Mus musculus: one gene and its partner. The protein of the gene in region 2 purifies or fractionates together with the protein of the main gene of each other region. This does not show direct contact. Links are inferred from orthologs where the notes say so. Each region holds a gene or a part of one and is shown on either strand. Other genes may lie near its edges.

Region 1 (3,823 bases), on a different chromosome or scaffold from region 2:
TATGTTTGTTCATCACCGCAGGAATAGTGTCACAATGGTGTGACCCTGACCCTGGCTCTAAGAGCCCGAAAGGTCCCATGACTTGATAAAACGTAATGCTGACCTAATGTTCACGTAATGGTGACGTAATGTTCACGAAGCTCACCTGCAGTGACGTCACCGTGGACAGGTCCTTCAGCTTTCCCTCCTCATCCTTCAGGTTGTAGCCCTCGGGCCTCTTGTCTCGTTCGGTAATCTTCCATAATTTGATAGTTTTATCTTTAAGGACAGATCAGGGAAGAACAAGGTATTCTGTCAACAGCCAGGCCAGGAAGAGAATACCCACTCTAGCTAGAGGGACAGTGATGTGTGTCCTGGGGCCACCACCCTGGAAATGACCATCCATGTCCCTCTCCCCCCTCACTGTGCCTTGTGTAGAATACCTCTGAATATGGGCAATCTGTTTCTGCTGCATCTTCTACTCACTGGCAGGGGATGTTACTAGGTCAAAAAGCATGCCCCTTGCAAGGGTCACTACTGACCTCTACACTGAGCATGTACCACTGTCCCTTCCTGAGAAGAAGGTGGCCACTCTGCCATTCCTAATTCAGTGGTACTTGCCACCCAGAAGCCAGCTCCCGGAGCCTCTCCCCCGTACTCCTTCCTTGGACGTCACAGGAGGAAGAATCAGTGGCGATAATTTTATGGCTCACCTTGGCTGTGACACAGACATTGTTCAGAACACACTGGCTCTTTTATGAAGGATCCTTTAGAATTAATTAAAATTTAAATCCATAAGCAGATAACCTGCCATCAGGAGATGGTAGACCTCATATCATTGGCTGAAGGCGCTGACAGAATGAAAGCCTACCTCCTTGGGAGGAGGGGATTCTGCCAGCACACGCCCTCCAGGCTTGAGCTGTGAGCTTCTGGCCTCACAATCGCAGGGGTCAGAATCACAGGTCCTCTCCATCTCCACCTCCCCCTCTCTCCTCTCTTGGTCTCTCCCCCACACACCTGGCTTCCCCAGAGGATCCCCGATAACATCCGCAGTCAAAACCAACAACGCTGTGAACATGGGAAGAAGCTAGAGGGAAAACTGCTTTCAAATGGGGCCCTCAATAGGGGTGCAGCCTTCTGTGAGGACAGGGTAGAAATGAGCAGTAAAGCTGGTGTCCTTGGTGTTTGAAGTATTCAATCTCGTCTCCACCTTGGAGCCCTCCATGCCCATTATATCTACAAGGGTGGGAGATTTGTGACCAGTCAGGGAAAGCTGAAGGGTGGCCTGGTTGTCACTAAAACCACAGAGAAACCTGGAAGGCTGAGTGAGTCAGGACAGCCACACCCGCGGGGCCTCACCATTGGTGGACAGCAGCGAGTGCGCGGCGTTCTGCTGCGGGAGCCATTTGATCTTGTTGATTTTCTCCTCTATCTCCAGGCTCTTCAGGTAGTCAAACTCCGGCTCGTGGCTCTGGAAGGTGCTGTATACATCGTACTCACCCTGGCTGTGAGGTGCGTTCTTACTCTGCAGGGAAACCCAAAGGCAGACTGAGCCGAAGGAGTGCCCATGGAAGAGGGAGGCAGGCGTGAGAAGGGGCTGAACACGTGTTGCAATATGTGTACCATCAGCATCAGCAAAGGAAACTACTGATACCGTGTACATGTGTGTACAGGGATGTGTGTGTGTGTGTATGTGTATGTGTGTGTAGGTATGGTACAGGGAGGGTGTGGGTACATGCAGGGGGTATATGTATGCAAGCAGAAGGTGGGAGATTGGAAAGTGTGTGTGTGTGTGTGTGTGTGTGTGTGTGTATGTGTGTGTAGAGGTATGTGCAGGTATGTGTGTGCAAGTGTGTATGTTCCACAGGTGTGTGTGTAGGCATGTACACAGAGAGAGTGTGGGTATATGCAGGGGTATGTGTGTGCAAGTAGTGGGTATCAAAGTGTGTGTGTGTGTGTGTGTGTGTGTGTGTGTGTGTGTAGGTATGTGTACTGGCTAGTTTTGTGTCAACTTGACACAGCTGGAGTTATCACAGAGAAAGGAGCTTCAGTTGAGGAAATGCCTCCATGAGATCCAGCTGTAAGGCATTTCTCAATTAGTGATCAAGGGGGAAAGGCCTCTTGTAGGTGGGACCATCTCTGGGCTGGTAATCTTGGTTCTATAAGAGAGCAGGCTGAGCAAGCCAGGGGAAGCAAGGCAGTAAAGAACATCCCTCCATGGCCTCTGCATCAGCTCCTGCTTTCTGACCTGCTTGAGTTCCAGTCCTGATTTCCTTGGTGATGAACAACAGTATGGAAGTGTAAGCCAAATAAACTCTTTCCTCCCCAACTTGCTTCTTGGTCCTGATGTTTGTGCAGGAATAGAAACCCTGACTAAGACAGTATGGTACAGGGAGGGTATGGGTACATGCAGGGGGTATATGTATGCAAGCAGAAGGTGGGAGATTGGGAAGTGTGTATGTGTGTGTGTGTGTGTGTGTGTGTGTGTGTGCATGTGCACAGAGAGGTGTGTGCACAGTTTTGTATAGGTGTGTGTGTGTTTGTGCAAGTTTGTATGTATACAGGGATATAAATGTGTGCAGGTGTGTATGCATGTGTACCTGGGTATTTTTGTACATAGGTGTGTATATACAGGGTGTATGTGGATATGTGCTAAAGTGTATGCATTGTATACAAAGGGTATGCAGATGTGTGCCCAGAGATTTGTGTGTGTGGACGAGGGTTTGCAGGTGTATATGCAGGTGTGCAAACATGTGTGTGAACATGCACACACAAGGGACAAGGGACAAGCTTAGTATCATCCTCAGAAACACTGCCCACCCTCTTTGAGGCAGGGCCTCTCATTGTCCTGGATCTCACCAGTTAGGCTAGCAAGCCTTGGAGATCTTCCTGTCCCCACCCTCCCCAAAAGTGGGATCACAGGCACTCGTATTTTCATGTGGGTTCTGGGGAACTAAATTTAGGTCCTCATACTTGTGAGACCATGGGTCTCCCCATGTTTCCACAAAGTGGCCACCATTCACCCCGCTGAGGTCAGATGCCAATGCTGAGCCTCTATCCATCCTCATTAGTCAGGTCTTAACCCTGCTTCTCACGGTGGCTCCCACCCCAGTTTGGGTAGCAGAGTTCCTATGTACCCCCTCTTGGTGGAGACCTCCAAAAGCTGAGTGCTGAACCTGCCATAAATACTGGGACCACTTTTCTAGCAGACAAGTCAAGTTTCTATGACAACACAAGATCACAGCTGGGAACGAGTGAAGATGGCCCAGCCAAGCACAGCTTCGGGTTTTCTGCTCGTTTTGAAAGTGCCTATTTTTAGGTCCCCGTCTCTGTCTTGAGTTAGGATCTATTTGAAAATCCTTCCACGTTTTCGCCTCCTCTTCCCATGAGCCCTAGTCGTGAAAAAGGTCAGCAGGAAGAGAGGGAGAGACAGACTAATGGAGAAAAGCCAGGACCTCTGAGCTCCTTTCTCTCTGCAGTGGGCAGAATGATGGCTGACTCTGGTGTGCCCTGGTGGGACAGTTTGGTTTTGTGACACCTGTGTGCACCAGGCTGTCCCTGGCCTGCCCTTGGCGAGCTATTTTAAGCCCTCTATGCTGCAGTTCTTCAGCTGTCAGATGAAGGGTAACAGCAGCTCTCTGTGTGGTGGGGTGGGGATGAGGGGTCCGTATGAGCTAAGGCAGCAAGGGGACCTCACCCTGGAGGGGTGAAGGAGGCTTCAGCTCCTCGCCTGACCCTGCCTCCCTTGAGCCTCTCCCTTCCCTGGTTCCTCATCCCCCAACACATTCAGTGATTGAGAGGCCCCCCTGCTAGGGTGACAGAACACAGCCAAGAACCCAGCAGG
Region 2 (3,823 bases):
GAAAACCCCAATTAGCATAAGCAGTGGCCTCGCAGTCAAGTGCATCTCCACCACATGATACGACAGAGCAGCCCTATCCCTCAACCTGGGAATATTAAACCACAGGCAAAAGGATGTGTTTCCTTACGTAATATTATATCTGGGGAGAGAATCTCTTTCTGGTTCTTTCTTCAAGGAGTGTGAGAAGGAACACAGCCTCTGTCCTAGTTAGGGTTTCTAGTGCTGTGAGGAAGCACCACAGCCAAAAAGCAAGCTGGGGAGGGAAAGAGTTTGTTAGGCTTACACTGCCACAGCACTGTTCACCATTGGAGGAAGTCAGGACAGGAGCTCAAACAGAGCAGGAACCTGGAGGCAGGAGCTGATGCAGAAGCCCTGGATGGATGCTGCTTACTGGCTTGCTCATCGTGGCTTGTTCAGCCTGCTTTCTTATAGAACCCAGGACCACATGCCTATGGGTGTCACCACCCACAGTGTGCTGTGTCATCCCCCATTAATCACTAATTAAGAAAATGCCTTAGAGGCTTGCTTACAGCCTGATCTTATGGAGGCATCTTCTCGATTGAAGTTCCCTCCTCTCAGAAGACTTTAGCTTGTGATGAATTGACATAAAACTATCCAGTGCAGGGCCCCACCCCCTACATATGACAGCGATTCACGTGGCTCCACAGAGAAATGGCTCTCTTCTATTGCTTGGGTGGAACATTTAATGTCTGGAAATGGTTCAAGTGTGTGCTATGAAGTATCGTAACTGTTAATGAAGTAACTACTATTTAAAACGTACTTTATGGCTGCAGCTGCTGAGTGGTGGGTGAAGATCCTCGTCTTCTGCATACTTCCTCTTGAAGTATGTGACCTTGGGTGTGCTTATAGGATTTGGAATTCCCCTGTAATGTGATCCTGTGGTAATAAATCAGACAGACAAATGACATAAGGCCTGCCAGAGATTCTCAAAGCAAAATACTTTCATTTCCTTTCCCTCTAGTGGAAAACTTGGCTACATCCCTGTCTGTACACTCAGTGACACAAAGACAAACCTGTCTTCATAGTTGCTATTGGACAGAGTCCTATGAACCTGGGAAGGTAAAGATTTCCAGGCAGGGTTAGAGGAAAATGTCACCCACCTTTCTTCATTTACTAAGTGCCTGGAATCTCAACTCTGTGCATAGGGCAACAGCAGAATCCACAGGAGGAAGGGGTGTGACCTATCTGAAGTAATGCCAGCACTTCACTTACTTAGACTCTTCTCACAGGCGGCAGAACCATGGTACGAATCACTTTAGAGTTAGAAAAAAAAACCCACACACCTATACATGGGAGTTATAACATTTTTTCTCTTAAAATACAAAGTTAAATATTAAAGTTTAGAGTTTGGAGCAAGTAAATTATGTTCCACTCTGGAAATGTTAACATGTCAACCATGAATAAAGCAAAGGTCCCCTTTGAAGACTTAAAAACCTTCTCAGGAACCAGATTTTCATGAAGCTTATATTTCAGTTTCTTAGAAAGAAAGAGAGAAAGAAAGAAAGAAAGAAAAAAAGAAAGAAAGAAAGAAAGAAAGAAGGAAAGGAAGGAAGAGAAAGAGAGAGAGGAAGAAAGAAAGAAGACCCACAGACCGATCACTGAATAAGAACACAGAAGAACTTATTTGAGACTATCAGAATTAATGTCTAGAAGAACATATTCTATTTTCTCATCAATCGGGTGGTCCACAAAGAGAGGCAGCTTGAAGCTATGGCAGATTCCTTTATGAACTGTGGGGTGATAGAGGTCTTGCTGTGGAGTCGGTGACCGTTTGTACATCCCTGAGGACCATTCGCTCCAACGGGTCTGAAAGCTGGAATCCAAACTTTTGCTATCTACTTCAGTCCCTTTAAAAATGCTGTTCCCGGACATCCACAGTGGTAACCACAGGCTTTCCCAAGGAGCCCAGCCCCAGGGTCCGACTAGACACTGCCTCCTAAGGAGAAGGCCAAAGGCCATACCTGCCAGGTGTGAGCTGGCTCCCCGGTCTCCCTGAGAAGGAACTGGAGCTGGCCCTGGGGGGCTCGCACCTCCGTAGCTGTCAGCCTCCCATAGTGTTTGGTACCCGGCAATCTCAGCAGCTCCTTCTGAGACAATGGGCTCGCAGAATCTATTCATGGACAGAACCAGCGTCATCTCTAACAGCCTTAGATCTGGGGTGGAAAAGAGGGGAGGGGGAGGGGGGATAGATAAAGAGCTCTGATTAGGAGCCAGCCTGAGGATGGTCTCAGCATCTTCCTGTGCTTGAAGAAACTTTTACTTCCTCCCCACCCCCCATCCCCCAACCATCTGATTATTTTTCCAAGGAAACCTTAGCAAGCTCTTGATGCTGTTAGCTTAGCCACTGAGATCAGCAGCTCTGCATTTCAGGGCGGATCTTTAGAGCCCACTCTCCTTATTGTTCTCAGATCCCCTCAGCCTCTCTCAGACAGCTGCTCTGCCTCCCAAATACAGTTTTCTCCCGACCTTTAAAATGTACCCCTAAGAGGAAGGGCCAGAACCCTCAGCCTCCCTTCTACTAATAAGGTGAAATCAATTTTCTATTCAAGCCCCTAGGAGACCCCTTTGATGAGATCTGCTAATCAATTGGGGGAGGGGGTGGAAGTCCCTAGGGTCCTCCCAACACTTGGTGAGTTTAAGTCTCTTCCCCAGCTTTCTCCTCTCTTCCCAGTTCCTCCTCTACACTCAGGATCTTCCCCTACTCTCTCCTCCCAGGGTGAGGCTGACAGACACTCGGTAGTTGTTTCCACAGCCCTGATCGGCCTGAACTGGATCTGCCTCCAGTCAAAACACTGCGAGATGAAGACAGAAAATTGGCTCCAGTTTCCAGCCGTGAGTTGCAGTCCCACAGGAGCCAAGCACAACATCAACCAAGCAGCAGAATATTAAACAGGAGCCAGGGCTCCGGGCAGACACAGCCAGCAACTCTTTAAACTGCAAAGCCAGATGCATGGCAGGAACTTTCCAAGAGTCAACACAGCCCTCTCTGGTTCCCAGCCCTGACCTCAGGACTGCAGGGAGCAGCCTAGCCTCTGCCACTCGTGATGCACCCAGACCCTGATCCTGTCAAATCCAGGCTATGGGGATATGTTGGCCCTCAAGATATTGTCAAGAGTATGTTTCAGGTAGATAAGAGCCAGGTAGGACAGCAGGAAAATCCTGGGGCCACAGGCCAGAGTGAAGACCTGGCTGGCACCTCTGGTTCCTGGTTTCTGTAGGACATCCAGACCCACAAGACCCATTTGTGTTTTAAGAACCTGTCAATGAAATGCTATCTGGCTTGCTTGCTCAAGATGGATTTTCCTTGTGCTATAGCAAGGGCCCAGTTCATTCTTTTGCCTTCTGGCTAGGGCAAGGATAAGCTTATCACTGTCTCATGGAGAGTACTGTTCCCTACATGTTAGGACATCAGTGCACACCCAGGGGAAAGGGAGGAATGTAGCTTCAATAAGGTGGCAAGATCCTCTGGCTACCAGAGCAGCCACTGACAGCTGACTGTCTTTCACCAGGTGGCTGTGTTCTGGGATTCAGCTGAAGCCCTGCAGAGGACAGAGACAGGGCAGGGTCGCCAATGTGTGGATAGAATCAGGACATAGCTGACTTGGTCCTTGGAGACTGCATATCCATTTTTCTCTCCAAAGAGATGTCAGAAATGGCTTAGGGAAAAAGGATGTGTGTGTGTGTGTGTGTGTGTGTGTGTGTGTGTGTGTGCATGCCGTGAGTCTGTGCATGCTGTTTGTCTGTGCATGTGTGTGTGCATGCTGTGAGCCTGTGGATGTGTGTGCATGTGTATGTGTATGTA

What was found.
Region 1: the proteins of Sertad4 (region 2) and Ppp2r2c purify together in Homo sapiens (affinity purification with mass spectrometry; 3 studies listed by BioGRID and IntAct, counting the BioPlex papers as one, with this or other methods). This does not show direct contact. The link is inferred for Mus musculus from reciprocal best matches to the Homo sapiens genes SERTAD4 and PPP2R2C.

The regions. Positions count from the first base shown.
Region 1 is NC_000071.6:36,923,966-36,927,788, reverse strand, and holds part of Ppp2r2c (serine/threonine-protein phosphatase 2A 55 kDa regulatory subunit B gamma isoform), read right to left. Parts: intron 1,505-3,823; coding exon 1,339-1,504; intron 259-1,338; coding exon 146-258; intron 1-145. UniProt on the Homo sapiens protein: The B regulatory subunit might modulate substrate selectivity and catalytic activity, and might also direct the localization of the catalytic enzyme to a particular subcellular compartment.
Region 2 is NC_000067.6:192,848,970-192,852,792, forward strand, and holds part of Sertad4 (SERTA domain-containing protein 4), read right to left. Parts: intron 2,779-3,823; exon of another isoform or gene 2,724-2,778; intron 2,175-2,723; coding exon of another isoform or gene 2,158-2,174; coding exon 1,983-2,157; intron 898-1,982; coding exon 782-897; intron 1-781.